Macaca fascicularis: one gene and its partner. The protein of the gene in region 2 interacts with the protein of the main gene of each other region in a pairwise test. Links are inferred from orthologs where the notes say so. Each region holds a gene or a part of one and is shown on either strand. Other genes may lie near its edges. The genes, in order: PTCD3 and LNX2.

Region 1 (3,825 bases), on a different chromosome or scaffold from region 2:
CTCAACAGATTCTTGTGTTGCTGAATGGAGATAAAGACCCTACTGAAAAATGGTCTAAATGTATAGGAATACAAATAGTGAAATTTATATTGCACAATAAAAATCAATTATTTAAGAACATCACAAGAAAACATCTTCACAGGGTGATGGGGCATATTCCATGTACTGTAAGACACTGTAATTCAAGGTTCTAATTACGTGTGACATACCGCCATGTAACTCCAAACTGATGACCAGCTTGCCTCCTAGATTTATTGTTATTTTCCTCTTCCTGAAATGAATAATCATCAAGAGAAATAAAAGTTAAGGTGATGGAATGCATTTCCCAGACTACTCAAAATCAGAAAGGCAAAGGGAACTCAGAAAAATAAAGAAAACACAGATCCAGCAGATGGCAAAGAGGAAGTCCAATAACGCTTACACCTATACATTTAATTTCTTAAGTGCAAATCAGATGAAAAGCCAAGTTGACCCTCAAAGCAACAAGTGACAGCGTGGAGACAAGATGAAGCCATTTCCCTGTATGGCCTGGTCCTCAGATAGAAAGAGGAAAACCAACCAACACATCCTATTTGCTCAGGGACTACATCTGGCTCGATCCATACAGATAAACTGTCATAATTAGGGTGAAACCAAGATAAACAACATATACTTAATGTCTAACACTCACCCAAGCAAACTAAGACTTCTATTTTTGTTTTTGTTTTTTTCCTGAAACAGTCTCGCTCTGTCACCCAGGATGCAGTGCAGTGGCATGGTCTCGGCTCACTGCAACTTCCACCTCCTGGGTTCAAGCAATTCTCCTGCCTCAGCCTCCTGAGTAGCTGTGACTACAGGCGCCTACCACCATGCCTAGATAATTTTTTGTATTTTTTTTTTAAGTAAAGACGGGGTTTCACCATGTTAGCCAGGATGGTCTTGATCTCCTGACCTCATGATCCACCCACCTTGGCGTCCCAAACTGTTGGGATTACAAGTGTGAGCCACTGCACCCAGCAAGACTTCTTACAAGACTAAATCTTGTCTTTATTTATAAACCAAGGTCTGGGATGAGGCTGACATAGAGCAATACAGGCTTGGTTGGCATTGCAGAGGTCAGTGCTGGCTCTGTAGCCTGCTGCCTCAAGAGGTGGGGCTGGAAAGGTAGAGGGCCAACCAGAGCAGGGCTTCAGGAAGTGATGCTCTGGAAAGTGAAGTGTAACTGCAACCCACTGCCTATGCACTTTTTAAAATGTAAGGTTCTCTACATAAACAATCCACATTTGGCCAGGTGCAGTGGTCAGTAATCCCAAAACTTTGGGAGGCTTGAAGGACTGCTTGAGTCCCAGCGTTGAAGACACCATCCCGGGCAATACAGCAAGACCCTATGTCTACCCGCCCTCCCCACCTAAAAAAAAACTAACCAGGCGTGGTGGCCCACACTTGTGGTCCCAGTTACTTGGGAGAATAAGGAGGAACACTTGAGCCTAGGAGTTAAAGGCTGCAGTAAGCTATGACAGCATCACTGCACTCCACCCTAGGTGACAAGAGTGAGACCCTGTCTCTGGGGGAAAAAAGAAATCCACATTTAGTTGGGCAAAGAGTAGGAAAGATAGAAAAGAAGAAAAACACCAATAATCCCATCACCCAGAAACACTTTTTAAATGATTTTTTTCTTATGCATTTGTAAAAACATTTTTACAAAAATGGAATATATACTGCTGATAGCCTGTTTCCCACTTATTGGATGAATCTTTCCATACCCAAACACATCTACTCTAATGTGCTCAATGGCCACACAACTTTTATCATAATTTGATCATCTACTGTTGGACATCTAGATTGTTTTCAACATTTTTACAAGTATAAACACCTCCTTATGAAAAATGTCACATGAGCATCTCTATTTGACTGATCCAAAGGATTTCTTGAGACCTAGTTCTAGAAGTAAAATTCACGAGTTGAGAGAGAGGCTATGACTCAACTTACAGGCAGCCCCCCGCACACTACTGTTCTGTCTCCAGCCTAGTGTGTTCTCGCCTCTAAGTCCATGTATGAATTTTTGAGGGGGCCCAGGCCATGGAGTCTTTACCTGGCCAGAATACATCATGTTATTACTCTAAGTGACACAGGCCAGCCCAAACATTTCAGATCAACGCTTTGCCTTAATATGAGGTAGGAGAGGACAACATATTGTTAAAAAGTAAACTAGGACAGAAGTAACTGTTTAAAATCTCTCTTCTTCCTGTACCACTTTTTAATCAAGGCTATCGTACCACACATCTCAGTACAAATCTCTTACTACTACCCTGACACATGGCAAAAGAACCCATCTTATTTTTAAAAGCGATTTCTTCAAAAAGAAGCTTAAGAAAAAAAAAAAAAATCAAGACCAACAGTTGTTACCAATTCTTCTGACTGCTCAGTTTGTTGAAAATGATAATCAGTTGAGGGCTCCTGGTCACCATAGTAACACAATAAATCCAAGAGACTATTTGTTGTTTCAAGAGACACAGTGGTTCCTGTGGGTAGAAACAGAAAGGGAAAGAAACCTTGAAACAATGAAGAACTAAAGCCTGTTAGGTGAAAATGCTTCATTTTTTAATATTGGCTGTGGTCTTCACGGCTACATACTTAATGTTGTCCACTACTTTATGCACTCAACGTCAACTTAAACACCTGGAGTGACATAGACAGGGACATAACCCCTGTTAACCATGTAATTTGATGTAAAAGATTGGAACACAAGATGAAGTTTGGGCCTGTGCTCACTTATTTTACGTACTCATTTTTCTCAAGCTAGTTCATGGTTTTAATTATCATCTCCAAACTGAACACACTGCAAACTATTCCCACTTACTTCCCCCAGCCCAGGTCCATTTGAACAAATGCAAGTAGCATTACTCCATTTGGATCCAGATACTCACTAAAAACTTGCTTAGAAACACTAGCTGAATTGTCTAACTATAGTAGTCTCTTAAAAATTGTTCAAAACATTATGTCCCCATCTTGACACTCATTAAAAGCGCTAAAAAGGGAACAGGAGGAAGAGAAGTATGAGATATAATCTGCTATTTTACAAGAAAAGCAAATGTATCTTTTTGTTTGTTTTGAGATAGGGTCTCATTCTGTCGCCCAGGCCGGAGTGCAAGGACATCACAGCTTACTACAACCTTGAACTCCTGGGCTCAAGTGATCTTCCCACCTCAGCGTCCCAAGCAGCTGTGACTACAGGTATGTGCCACTGCGCCTGGCTAATTTTTAAATTTTTTGCAGAGATGAGGTCTCACTATGTTGCCCAGGCTGGTCTTGAACTCCTGGGCTCAAGCAATCCTCCTGTTTTGGCCTCCCAAAGTTCTGGGATTACAGGTGCGAGTCACCATGCCCAGCCAATAAATTTTCTTTCTAAACAAAATACATTGATAAATTTAAAATGAGTATTAGGAAATGTAAAAGTCCAGAAGAGAAAGCAGGGCAGAGCGAAGAGGGTACAGGCTATGGAGAAGCAACTGGTTCACACCATCTCAAAGCTATGAGACCCTGGAAAAATTACCTAATAATTACCTTCATAAGATTACTATAAAACACACCAATGAGGGCCAGGCGTGGTGGCTCACACCTGTAATCCCAGCACTTTGGGAGGCTGAGGCGGGTGGATCACCTGAGGTCGGGAGTTTGAGACCAGCCTGATCAATGTGGGGAAACCCCATCTCTACTAAAAATACAAAAAATTAGCCAGGCATGGTGGTGCATGCCTGTAATCCCAGCTACTTGGGAGACTAAGGCAGGAGAATTGCTTGAACCCAGGAGGCAGAGGTTGCAGTGAACCCAGATCGCGCCACTGCA
Region 2 (3,825 bases):
CGGTCATTGCTGCAGAGCCTGCCGTCCTGCGCAGCCAACCCCCCTTCCAGCAGGTCAAGAATAAAAACCCCTGGCTCATCTGTCCTTCGCACCAATTTAATGCCAAGCTGTTCACCAGAGTCCCGTTTGTGAAGAACCACTTGGAAAATCTCTTCTCGCGGAGAGTTACTATCAGAATGGTTGTGTGCTCGGTTGCCAAAGCGCCTCTCTCGAAGCACAGTAAGATGCAGTGTGTTGCACGGCTGGGAAAGGACAGCTCTGGCATAGTTATGGGACACGTTGCTGATATTGTAGTTGTTGACCTAGAAAAAAAGAATTGTGACAAAACTGTGACAACCTTTCATTTTTCCAATTTGTAGGAACGTTTATGTAACATTTCCAAGGGACACTAAGTATTGTGAGAGTGCTAAGTATGGTGAGAATGCTATACAATCATTATTTACAAAGAAAACCACATTAAAGACATTTAAAAATAGAGTTTCTAATATTAACTTACATTGATTAGCATCAAGGAGACAAGAGTAGCTAGGATCACGGGCTTTAATGACAGTCTTGAATTAGAGTCCTAGGTACTATCATTTAGTAACTGATAACCTTAGGCAAATTATAGAACTTGTCTAGATGAGTCTTCTCATCTGTAAAATATGTTTTACTTCATGGGATCAGTATGAGAATGAACAGATCAACATGCAGCAAGTGCTAATGAAATAAATACTAATTCTAGTGGAACACAAATTTAAGTTTTACTAGATTACAAATTTGCTTTTACCAAATTAAATACACTTAAGCTAGAGAAAATAAATTGTTATTTTAAGGAAAGTAGCACATTCCAGGTATACAACCTTATTTTAGATAAGTGACTTTTACTTGAAAGAAAACCAGGTTAATTGTAATTTCACTCTAATTCCTCAGCACACAAGTATTAGGCTGGTGCAAAAGTCATTACAGCTTTTACCATTAAAAGTAAAATAGAATGTATATCTAATGCATTATTCAATACTCATATAACATTTATGTATCCACCTTTATAACCTTGAAAAAAGTATAGTGACTGATCCTTGGATATGTAACAGCACTTAGAAAATACACCTAACTTCAATTATTTCTTTAGTTACAAGAGATGAGCATGATTCTTAGCATTTATCACAATTAGAGTTCTTCTCTGAATAGATCTGAGATGAAACCAACATCCTCTGACCATCTGTTATATGACAGGCTCTGAGTTAGGTGCTTATGATCACCTAAAATTCTTAAATCTTTTTCACACAAATCCACATTAGGCAAGACTCCCCTCTTCCTATTTACTTAGGATTGATAGTTGTAAATACTACTATTTTGAATTTTGTTGATTTTGACCTATTAACATCTTTCAGAATTCAATCACCAAATGCACAGATGTCACACACAAACTTGCTTTCTCCCAAGTCTGCAACATCTATGAATTTGGTAGTCATCCAAGTCCTTGGTAAAAGTATTGAATAATACAAGGTCAAATGGAACTTCTGAAGTTCTATTATATTTAGAAAGCAGCTTCTAAAAATCCAGGCAGACATAGATACATTAGCTAAACCACCATTTCCAGCTATTTAGCTAAAAAGCTACCCTACCTGTAGGTTCACATTTTTCTATCTTACATTCAGACATATCACACATATCACAAATGACTTTACAAAATGTCTGACTAAAATCCAGCCATGTGTAAACCATGCAGCCTCATCACATCTTTGTGAAGCAGGCTGGGGAATATTCTACAACTGGAAAAATATTTTTCCTCCAGGAATGCATGGTTGCCGGTGAAATTCAGATAAAGCAAATAAAATATTGTTTCTAGATTTCGTAAAAATAACATCAACCCAGCAAACTATCTCATTTTTGAGCTAAATGTGTTTTTTTAATCGATACAATCAACAGCTGTAATTATTTTCCTTCAGAACTGAAAATGCCTACATTACTGATGACTTCATTAAACTGAAAATACTTATTCTTAATAATGTTCTAAGTTATATTACTTTTATTAATAATAATGATATTGAGGTAATTTATAATAGCAGTATTTTTTTTCTTCAAAACTGCTCAAAGAGGCTGCATATGAAACTCTAAGAGTAGCAAAAGGCTCTGAGGGCATATGGTTCTTCTTTTCAAAGAGGCTATTTAATAATGTTTGTGTATATAAATAAATATATATAAATATGGGAAAACCACCAAAGCCATACACACTGCTTATGTATATGGTCTGCAAAAATGAAAATGCAAGCTAGCTCTCTAGTCTGCAAATGAACCATCTTACTGCCTCTTCAAAATTTTCAAACTGGCTCACTGTGTTATATTTATTCAGCTTATACAAAGTTGGAGGTAACCAAAGAGGCCTCCTTCCAAGTGTTTACTTTTGAATAACCATAACTAGTCCACATGTGGGAAAGGGGAGTGGCTTTATGTATTGGCTCCAACACACCAGTTAAAAGCCAATCAGAAGTCAGGGCCTATAACAGGAGAGACCCTTTGTGAATGCATTAATCAGGTTATGTGCTCAGACCTTTCTTATCAATTTGAATCATTGAACTAGATGTAAGATTGCCATTAGTGGAGTTATTAGTATACAGGTTACCGTAAACAGTAATAATGCAGTGGAATTTCTACAATGTAGACTTTATAACTCTGAATTAATTCCCAAAAACATGGTTGATAATTTCAGATAATTATAATCTTTTGAGGTCTAAAGATTCAGTTGTGTTAATGAACCATTCTCTAAAATAGAAACGAGCCCACTGATGAAATGTATTAGTAAAAAAACTTAAACGAATCTCAGTTATATTCAAAGAAATATAAATAAAAACATTTGTTTTTACTTTGAAAATTAAAAAAGAGAATGAAAAATGTATAAATATGGTAACAATACTGGGCTAGTAGCAAAACACAAAAATAAGTGTACATTTACATTTCAGCTAAAAAGGCCAGAAGAGGGAGAGTCAAAGAGCACTCAGTGGGCTGCAGAAAAGGACTATCTGCCTTTCCTGGTCCTGACCGCCAAAGTGTCAAGACGTCTGGGAGGACGAATCTGGGAAATGAGTTATAAGAGTCCCTCTCTGCAAAATCAAGTCAGGAGCTAGGACGTAAATAATACAAGGGGTCCTACAAGTTGTGCCAGCCTGTGCAGCTAGAGTACTAATATCACAAAATGCAGCTAGGATAACTAAATAGCTAGCTATGACTGGATCAGGAATCTGATTTTATATAAGCTGGATTAGTTATATTCCTGTATTCCTCTATTATGTCTAAGTATTTGGTAAAAAAAAAAAAAAACAAAAAAAAACACTGTTTGAAAGTTCAGTCTGTCTCAGCCACGCTAGGGGTAACGAAGGAAGGGTTTTGGGCTTGATATTAATTATTTTCAGGAATAATACACCATGAAAAGCAGCATACAAGTGGGAGTGGAAACCAAACCCAAGAATCCCTAGTAGGGTCAGTCCTGGCTGCCTTTGTAGCCTCCCCCAGACCCAAGTCTAGAGATTTCTTTTCAAGAACTAAAAATCCTAACCAAGTTTTCATTCTAATAAAGGAGATGGCTATTCCCAACAGCATGTTCTATTCAAATTCACTCTTTTATTGACTCAGCAAGTATTTTCTGAGCACTTATTACAAGCTATGAGAAATCTGTATCATAATCTGTACCATTAGGGTGGTTGCAATTACCTTAGATCATGCCTACATACATAAAATGTTCAAACAATTCACTGTAACTGAGCACGTGCCAAGTGATGAAGAGTAAAGTGATGAATGTCAATAATAACTAAGGTAGGAGGAATCAGTATGGGGGAGAATGACTGA

The links.
Region 1: the proteins of LNX2 (region 2) and PTCD3 interact in binary tests that used the Homo sapiens proteins (3 or more experiments, as listed by UniProt). The link is inferred for Macaca fascicularis from reciprocal best matches to the Homo sapiens genes LNX2 and PTCD3.

The regions. Positions count from the first base shown.
Region 1 is NC_088387.1:35,456,121-35,459,945, forward strand, and holds part of PTCD3 (small ribosomal subunit protein mS39), read right to left. Parts: intron 2,502-3,825; coding exon 2,386-2,501; intron 272-2,385; coding exon 210-271; intron 1-209. UniProt on the Homo sapiens protein: Mitochondrial RNA-binding protein that has a role in mitochondrial translation.
Region 2 is NC_088391.1:7,541,402-7,545,226, forward strand, and holds part of LNX2 (ligand of Numb protein X 2), read right to left. Parts: intron 303-3,825; coding exon 1-302.